Sus scrofa: one gene and its partner. The protein of the gene in region 1 purifies or fractionates together with the protein of each later gene. This does not show direct contact. Links are inferred from orthologs where the notes say so. Each region holds a gene or a part of one and is shown in the gene's direction. Other genes may lie near its edges.

Region 1 (5,052 bases):
TCTGAAGTGGATTCAGCTGATAGAAATCTCTTGATTGGAAAAATGAGATATATTGTGCACTTCTTTTTTTTTTTTTCTGTCTTTTTGCCATTTCTTGGGCCGCTCCCGTGGCATTTGGAGGTTCCTAGGCTAGGGGTTGAATCAGAGCTGCAGCTGCCAGCCTGCGCCAGAGCCACAGCAACTCTGAGCCTCCTCTGCAACCTACACCACAGCTCACGGCAACGCCGGATCCTTAACCCACTGAGCAAGGCCAGGAATCGAACCCGCAACCTCATGGTTCCTAGTTGGATTCGTTAACCACTGAGCCATGATGGGAGCTCCCCCTCTTTTGTTTTTTTGTCTCATTTCTTCTTATTAAAACCAGGCAGTTACTTGTTTACTTATTAAAAATGTGATGAGTCACTTTTTAAGTGCTGGAAGAAGAATTGGAATTGTTTCCAGTTGGAATTGGAATTGTTTCAGGCTCATCATCTGAAGTGTTTTAAGGAGGATGAAAGATCTCAGTACCCAAAGCCAGCAAAGTTAAAAACTCAAACCTGAGTGAACTTGGCCCCTAGGAAGTGCTTACCTGCCCTGTCTTGAGTTTCCTTAAGGAAGGTATCACTGAAAATTTAATCATCCTGATGGGGTTGCTATCCAGAATCAGATTGTCACACGGAAGCCTCCTCTCTGCAGTTCCTCTGAACAAGGTCACATATTTAGCTGGTTGGCCTTTTGATTCCTGATAGTTTTCAGCCCTGGCGGGAACCCTAAACTACTGACAAAGGCCCAGCATTTCCCAGGGTGCATGATACTTAGGTCATTTTCAGAGATTTTTACTAATCTGTACATATTTTAAACTTTACAAACAGTGGCACAGTGAGTTAAGAATTCAACTGCAGCAGCTCGGGTCACTGTGGAGGTGCAAGTTCAATCCCCAGCCCCAGTACAGTGGCGTAAAGGATCTGACATTACTACAACTGTGGCATAGGTTGCAGATGTGGTTTGGAGTCAGTCCCTGGCCTGAGAACTTCATATGCCATAGGTGCAGCCGTTAAAAAAAGAAAGTGGACAGTTTGTGATGATCACCTTGGGGTGTGTGCATAAGTGCAATAGCTGCTTTTAAAAATCATAATAATTAACATAATCAGTTAATACTTCAAACCTGCTTTCTTAGCAATTCACCTAACCAGCCCCCTTCCGGAGAAAGTTTTAAGACCAACAGATTGGAGCTCTGCCGCATCAGTGCAGGTATAAAGATAAGCAAATCTCAAGAGAAAAGTCCTTTGTAGAAGAGTCCAGCTTTGTAAATAAGACGAGGTCACTGTTAGCCCTGGGGAATTAACTGATCTGCAGGACTGTGCTGGTGATTCAGAGAGGTGAGGACTGAAATGACTATAGGATGAAAATCTTTGAAATGGGACTTTCTGGATTTTATTTTTATGTCACAGTGGGTGTGAAGAGGTGAGCCACTAATAGAAATTTTTTTCTGACACACATTGCTCATTATGATTAATTTCTAAATTGCTAACCTCTTTCTAGGCTTCTCTGTTTTGCTGTAAACTCTTCTTCATAAAGTGGTGTGCAGCCAGTCCCCAGAACAGATTACATAGCAGAGTCACTTGGAGAGTTTTTACAGAATACAGATTATTATATATAGAGTCCTGTGTGCCAAGATTTTGAGTCATTAAAGTGTGGGATCTTAGGAGTTTCCGTTGTGGCTCTGTGTCTTAAGAACCTTACTGGGATCCATGAGGATTCAGGTTCGATCCCTGGCCTCACTCACTGGGTTAAGGATCTGGTGTTGCCATGAGCTGCAAAGTAGGTTGCAAACACCGATCCCTCGTTGCTGTGGCTGTGGTGTAGGCTTGGCAGCTGTGGCTCCAATTCAACCCCTAGCTTGGGAACTTCCATATGCCCTGGGTATGGTCCTAAAAAAAGTAAATAAATAAAAATAAAGTATGGGATCTTAGAAACTTTTTTTTTTAAAACACCACTGCTGATTCTGATGCAGAGCTAGACTTGGAAATTATTTCAATATTTTACAATTATCTTAAATTTTTTTCTCTTTTTAAAAAATGACTAAGTCTAAACTATAACCCTTATAAAATTATAATAAACGAAATCGGAGAACAAGATGTTTAGTTTCCTAGAGACTTAATCCACACTTGCATTTTTCCCCCATCCTATCAGTTCATTTAAATTCAGCCTTAATATGTTGGCACAGTAATTTATTAAAGAACATATTCCAATTAATTTTACTTTATATTAAACGGTATTGTTGTTTATCAGTTTATGCCAAACTAACGTAATTCTGAGCACTCTGAGAACTAAATGTTTGGTAGGAATTTTTGTAATATAAAATTTGTAGTAAAACCATTTTTAGAGCCATTAGCTTTAAAGTTTTCCCTGGTTCCTTATTTCACTTCTGTATCCTTGAGGTTAAGTAGTATAAACATAGGAACATTTTAGAATGATGAGCATGATAAACACTGTCATCAAACTCTCCTCAAAGAAGTCGTAGTTTCTCTGTATATTTTAAAAAAGAAACTCTGGTATATGGATGTGATAAAAAGCCTAGTCAATAATTTTTCTATATCTCTTTACATTGTAAGTGCATGATTAAAAATTTTTCCTAATACTGTTTTCCATCGTTTTTTTTTTTACTGCAGTCCACAAGAAACACATTAGGAAATGTCACACCAGTGTATATGTTTGTGTGCCTTTGTGTATAATGGAAATAAATATATAACTCAACACTTGACTAAAAAGGATGCCCACAGATTTTCTCTTTTGTTTTTTCTTTTTTAAAGATGAAAATGCCGGTCATGGGTCAAGGGGGTCAAAAGGTACAAATTTCTAGATACAAATGCATGCTGAGGACAGAGTATACACCACGGTAACCAGTTAATAGTAACAGTGTTGTACATTTGAAATTTCTCATCACAAGAAAAAAAATGTGGTAGCTATATGTATGGTGATGGATGTTAATTAGAGTTAATATGATCATTTCACGATATATACAGATACTGAATCATTATGTTGTACATTTGAAACTAATAAAATGTTGTGTGCCAGTTACACCTAAAAAAAATGCCAGTCATGTCCCACCGAATTGATTTCATAACACTCTAAGGCTGTTATCTGTAGCGAAAGAACTCACTTGCTGGTTTCAATTCTCAGAAACTAAGTAGGATGATGGGGTTGCCAGGGGCTGAGGGTGGTGGGGAAGAGGTAGGTTAAAGAGAAAAAACTTGCAGTTATGAGTAAGTTTTGAGGATCCGGTGTAAAACGTGATGATTATAGTTAACAACAGTATATACTTGAAAGCTGCAAAGAATAAATCTTTAATGTTCTTACCACAGAAAAGAAATGGTAATTATGTGAGGTGATAGCGGTATTAACCATCTGTGGTGGTAATCATTTCACAGTATATAGGTATGTCATATCAACGTATTGTTTATACCTTTAATGCATACGTCATAAATCACTTTTCTCTCAAAAGGGGAGGGGGTGGGGCAGGAAAGAACGGGGAGCGTATTAAGTGGTGCGACAGCGCCACCTTGTGGTGTAGCCCGCCGGTTACACGTTGGTGCTTTCTTTAAAAAACCTGAAAGTCACGTTTTATATGGTTCTACATGTATGCTTAAAGAAGTAATCTGAAATGAGTTACGTTAGAAGTATAATGATGTTCATCTTTTATTTCAAAATCTTCAATTATTGTTTGTTCTTTGTAGGGAATAAATTCAAACTGTCTCTTCAAACCTTCTTTCCCCATAAAGTCTACCTTTTAACTGTCTTCGTATTTGACATTCTGCCTTTAGGACAGGGTAACCTTCAGGAGAATAATTGTAAAAAATAATGCCAAAAAGAGGAAAATGTATGAAAGCTTTATTGAGTCACTGCCATTCCTTAAATCTTTGGAAGTAAGTATATGTTTGTGCTTTTATTTTGCTTTAAAAGCTTTTGTTTTGTTGGGAATGCTTAGTTCTATTGGAAGTTTCTTTGAATAATAATTTATCCATATTTTCATTTGAGAAGATTATATAGCGTTTGTACAGCTCAGCCTTTCTTTTCCTGCCTATAGCTGCATTTGTTTTGTCGTATGTAAGCAATAGACTCCTAGGAGCATCCTTGGCAGATCTGTATTTGGTCTTTATCTGAACGCAGACTTAAAAGAACCCCACAAATGTAGGCAGTGGCCGCTTAGTTATGCCTTTATAGGATCAGATTATCCAAATACAGCACATCCTCACTGGCCTCTCCTCCTTTATTCCTCTTCTCCTTTCTCCTAAAATTGGCATTCTAGGGTCTCTTTTTCTTTTGGCAGGCTCACCCTAACCCTCTTCACATGGTGAACTTGTCAAATCCCCTGGCTTATAAGTCTATTATGTTGATGCCTCTTAGAATTGTTGTTACTGGGCAAGGCCCAGCCCTTGAACGCCAGGCTCATTTATCTAACTGCATATTTAACATTTTCTCTGGGGTGTCTGATAGAAAGCTCACACCTAATCCGGCCCAAACCTCCTCCCACCCCACTTCCCATCTTAGAGACAGCACTGCCATCCTTCCAGCATCTAAGCCACAGTCCTTCGGACTGACGAACTCATGGGCGGATGTGACTCTCTGTTGGCTTAAAGTAGTAGAAATTCAGGCCACATTTCAGAATGCATTTTGGGCAGCTGATCTTTTCCAGCAACAGTTCTCTCTAAATAAAAATAGCTCAGGGGTTGGAAATGCACATGCCTTAGAGTTAACATATTGAAGAAAACCAAGCCAGGATGGGACTTTGGTAAACTGGAAAACATGTGCTCCATCTAAAGAAACAGCTGCTAGTTAACAGAGTTTATTTTTGCAATTTGGAGATATGGGCTGACTGTTGCTGAGTGTCCCGATTTTTCAAGAGAAGCTGGAAATTCAAGTTTTTATTGAAAATTTATTTTAAAATGTGGGCAGTTAATACAGCAAACACACACACACAGACCCACACATTGCTCAGTTTATTTGGCCTATAGGCTACCATTTTTAAACCTTGAAACAGTTAAGGAAGATCTGTGGGCAGTGGATTGAGGA
Region 2 (5,052 bases), on another chromosome or scaffold:
ATCAACTATACTTAAGAAAACGAAAAAAGAAAAAATAAATATAAGGCATGCATCACTGTGGATTTTTATTTTAAAAAACAGTTTACTGATCAAATTTTATGTTTATTTAATCTAAATTATGAATTTTATCTGTGCATAATTACTAAAAAGTAATTATTTAGAGTCTACCACTAATCCTAGAAGCTGTCAGTTTTAACTCTGGATCTGAGAGAATTAGTAGGACTAAATCTGACCTCTAGATCCATGTTTTGAAGCCAAAAGCATAGCCTTTTCATAATTACTTCTAATAAGAAGAGGGGAGGGAAGCCTTGCTCTGCATTATATACACCAAGAGGCAAACTAAAGATAACGTGTACTAGTTGTCACTTCTTCCTTTGTTTCAACTTTACCACTTAAATGAAAGAACTATATGTGAATTATTTTTTTAAACTTTAGTTTAAAAATAGTATTATAGCAAATGAATATAATCTTAAGACAGTTCTACTTTTCTAAACAGAGAAAATGTGATGAGAAATTTTTAATCATATCTGAAATGATGTTTTAACCTCTGTTTTCCTTTCTTCTGCCATCCTTTGGTGGAGAAAGCCAGAAAAGAAAAACTGATAATTGGGCATAGACAGGAACCAGGAAAGAGAAAGAGAACCTGCCTCAATACTTAGACACTCAATAACTACCTTCTGAATAATTCAAATTTGGCTAACCTATAGAAGTGTTAGAATAAAATAAAAGAATTATTTCAGCTTTATTCTCATTATCTTTCATGATTTAAATCATCTATAACTATACTCTGGTTTCTCTCCAGATCATATAAATCTTTCACCTTTTTAAATCATCTATAACTTTGTCTTTTATAATCTAAATTTCATTGCTAATAACATATTTCTTCTTCAAGTGCATTTAACAAATAAGGTGTTTGTCATAAGCACCAAAACTTTAAAAAATGTGTTTATATGTATGAAGAAATATTCATTGTATGGAATCAGGAAAATACAGAAAAATAAAAATAATCAAGAAAGCTATAGTCTCACCACCCAGAGGTAGCCTTTTTAAAAACATCTTAATATATTTTCTTATGCATGTTATATCGAATGTACAATTTTGTATTCATCTTTTTTCACCTGAATGATAACAAGCCTGAAAATATAATTCTAATGGCTTATTTGAAAATGTACCATATTGTATTTTGCCACTCTTCTCTTGTCGTTGAATATTCAGGTTATTTTGTTTTTTTCTATTATAAATAACTATGAGAAACATCTTTGTGCATAAAGCCTTTTCTGTGTTTTAAATTATTTTTTAAGGTTAGATTCCTAGAAGTGGAATTACTAAGTCAGAGGGTATGAACATTTTTAAGGGTTTCAATACATATCGCCAAAGGGCTTTCCAAAAAGCTTGTAACATTTTACACTCCTCAGCAGTGTTTGAGAGTGCCTATATCAAACTTTCTGCAGCATTGGGTATTCTTTATTTTAAAAAGCATTACTAATTTGATAGGCAGTAAACAACATCTGATTATTTTAAGTCTCATGTCTTTTATTATTAGCTTTTTTAATGCTTTATAGCCATTTGGTATTTATGAATGTGTATGAATTATTAGTTCATGTCCTTAGCCCATTTATCTATTATAATTGTTTTTCTTATTGATTTGTTTTAATTTTTTATACCTAGGGTATTAAAAGCATCTAACATACTTATTATAAACAGTAGCACACAATCTGAAACATAAAACCAAAATTTAGTAAAAGGATCTGTTTGAACATTACATGTTTTCATTATAGCAAAAAATGTTGTAATTACATTACTAGGGAGTTGAGTTTAAAGAATTAAAGCACGGTTGATGCCCATTTCTATAAGCTAAACAAAGTGCTATTCCAATTATACTAGTCTCTTTTTAAAAACATACAGAAACAGGAAAGAAAAAAGAAATCTCCATATCACAGTATTATATTTTAGCCAGTAGTTTGAAAATTAAATAGCTTAAAAAGCTAAAATTTTGACAAAAGGTTGGAATATGGGGAGTGGTAAAGGTAATTAAAGAATATACCTGAGGGCAGATCAAAAGATCTGGCAAGAACTCAGCTCATTTCCTTCCATGATCAAACTGGGTTTTTTCCATAATCTTTTGTGCCAGTTGACATTGATTGTAGTTGATAACAAACTTTATATAAATATGTTAATACCTTATTCTTATTTATTTTCTTATAAATACTTCTAGATCTTAATGTTAGTAAGCTTAATATGAAAAAAACAAATCCAGTTAAGAATAGCCTTAGAATTATATACCCTTGATTTGCAGCATTCTCTTTGTACATATTATTTCCTTTATTTGATAAAGTCCTCACAGAACCCCCTGAATTAATCATCTTTCCTATATACTTTTTAGAGATGAGAAACAAAACAATAAAGTATACTTAAAGATTTACATGTGTTCGCTTCCACATTAAATGTTTAGCTTCCATAAGGTCCTATAAAGAGGATGGAATTCACTTCACAGGATGTTCACCCTCCTAATTACAAATATGTAGAGTATTTTGAAGTTAATTCCACTATTTATTATGAAGTACATCAACTCTTTCATTTCAGAACATTTGACCTTTCTAAGTATTTTCTAGAAAACCTGATTCATAAGATTATGGAACTAGAATGGGCTATAAGAGGTAATTTGGTCCAACTCCCTTCCTATTGTTGAACAACACTGCTATCCCAGTTAAAAGGGCATATTTTATTGTCTATAATATTCTTAATTATTTTTAGGAAAAAATTTAATAATATTTTCCTACTATCTAATCTCAGTATCTGGAAGTTCTCCCCTTTGTTTAATTCAAATCTGACCTGATACATTGTGTTTTTTATTTCATCCTGCATAACTACTCAGAACCTATTTTTAAAATTTCATGTGTTTGAAGATTATTTTGAAATAATTTATGATATTCATTCTCTTCTGAGTGAGTTAAGTAATAACAGACGTTTGTGTTGGTTTACTTTAGGGCTACAATAAGGCAGTGGATTGGTGGGCATTAGGAGTATTAATCTATGAGATGGCAGCTGGCTACCCCCCATTCTTTGCAGACCAACCCATTCAGATCTATGAAAAGATTGTTTCTGGAAAAGTAAGTAATACAATTTATTATTTCTTGATTATTCATTATTTCTATACATGAATTTTAAGCTTTGTACATTGAATCCATTTGATATCATCAGAATATTGTCCTAAATTGGGAATAATACAGAAATACCCATAGTTGCTGCCCTTTTTTCTAATACTTATGGAAGATAACAGCATAAATACCAAATCATTGAAGTCTCTTATGTAAAAAAGGGCAGTTTTACAAACATGTTAGCAAAATAATAAAGCAATTTCCATTTTTAGCATTTTTATCCTTATAAAACACAAAATCATAGCCCTAACTCTTCCATATTTCTTCAAACAAATAAAAATTGTTAGTTATTTCATGTGGAAATCTACGTAGAGAGGTTTTGGGGCTGTTTTTATATGTCCTGGCTTTTTTAGACTTATTGTTTAAATTATGTCAAACAGCATGAAATTGGAAGTAAATATAGAATAGATAAACCTTTTTAAGATGGGAATTCATAGAAATGATGTAAACAGTTGTTCATTTAATGTGATTATAATTGCAATCGATCTTTAGTAAATATGGGAATAACATTAATTTTCTTAAATTTGAGTAGATTTACTATGTCAGAGTACTTTACATTTTGTAATTACTCCACGAAGCTTCCTTCTTTTGCATTTATAATCTCTAATTTTGTTTCCAAGAATATTTTGTTTAAAATTAACCATTTAGAGTTCCATTGTGGCTCAGTGGTAACAACCCAACTAGTATCCTTAAGGACACAGGTTCAATCCCTGGCTAGGTTAAGAATCCAGCGTTGCTGTGAGCTGTGGTATAGGTCACAGACATGGCTCAGATCTGGCATTTCTATGTCTGTGGCATAGGCTGGCAGCTGCAACTCTGATTCCACTCCTAGCCTGGGAACTTCCATATGCTGTGGGTACAGCCCTAAAAAGCAAAAATAAATAAATAGCAAAAAAACTAAAAAATAAAAATTTTAAAAATAAAGTTGACCATTCACTCTTGCCTTAACTCATGCCTCAGATGCATTTTTAAAATGCTACAATTTTAATAGAGATGAGCCTGATTCTGCTTACCACATAGGAGAGAAACAGTAGACTTTCAAAAATGTGTGGAAGGCCTTCTATACATTTATGACAAAGTTCATGGGAAGGGATATTTTCCTTATTTTTTCTTTGTCCCATTCCTGCATGTTGTACCCTCTATTAGTTTGTCTTTTTTTGGGGGGAGGGATCACATAACATCAATATTGACATGACCTTACCCTAAAATGTGATGTAGTTGACATTTATGTATTTTGTAGCCTTCTAAGACATAAGCCTACTCAACCTAAAGAAAGGAGATAGGGGAAAAAAATCTATCTATTTGTATCTCAACCAGATTTATGCTCTGCATTTAGTATGAAAGCTAAGCCTTAGCATTTGAACTTGAAATTTATAGTTTCAGCTCTTCGCAAGGTAGCCTGAATATCCGTAATGTAGTAAATTATCTTTTTTACCAAGACCTAAATTTAAATTATGGATGCTGCATGGCTGGGCTATAGGAGCAAGATACCAATAGAATAAGTCTGTCCAGCTACCTAGAATCTACATCTCAGCATGTTATTTTTCCATATCTCATAGTGCTTATGCAGTCTACAGGGATCACTATTTTCAGTTATATTTTACTGCATTTTATGGTATTTACAACTAGGGGACTAAACTAAAGAACATATACTTCAACCATGTCAAAGGCAAAAAATAAATACCTCTTCCAGACACCTAAGCTAGGTTTTTAAAGATTTTTACTAAGATAATACAGAAAGACAGAATGAAGTATTTAGCAGTATTTAGGTAATTAAGTATTACTGCCCTTGCAGTTTTCTTATCTTTGTAATTGTTTTCACCCAGCAGAATATTAAGGTCACAGTTAAAGAACTTTTGAGATGAACAAAACAAAAAATCAAGAAAAATTAATA

The links. The genes of interacting proteins can lie anywhere in the genome.
Region 2: the proteins of PRKAR2B (region 1) and PRKACB purify together in Homo sapiens (affinity purification with mass spectrometry; 7 studies listed by BioGRID and IntAct, counting the BioPlex papers as one, with this or other methods). This does not show direct contact. The link is inferred for Sus scrofa from reciprocal best matches to the Homo sapiens genes PRKAR2B and PRKACB.

Annotation. Positions count from the first base shown.
Region 1 is NC_010451.4:106,944,007-106,949,058, forward strand, and holds part of PRKAR2B (cAMP-dependent protein kinase type II-beta regulatory subunit), read left to right. Parts: intron 1-3,803; coding exon 3,804-3,905; intron 3,906-5,052. UniProt on the Homo sapiens protein: Regulatory subunit of the cAMP-dependent protein kinases involved in cAMP signaling in cells. Type II regulatory chains mediate membrane association by binding to anchoring proteins, including the MAP2 kinase.
Region 2 is NC_010448.4:129,541,246-129,546,297, reverse strand, and holds part of PRKACB (cAMP-dependent protein kinase catalytic subunit beta), read left to right. Parts: intron 1-2,987; coding exon 2,988-3,110; intron 3,111-5,052. UniProt on the Homo sapiens protein: Mediates cAMP-dependent signaling triggered by receptor binding to GPCRs.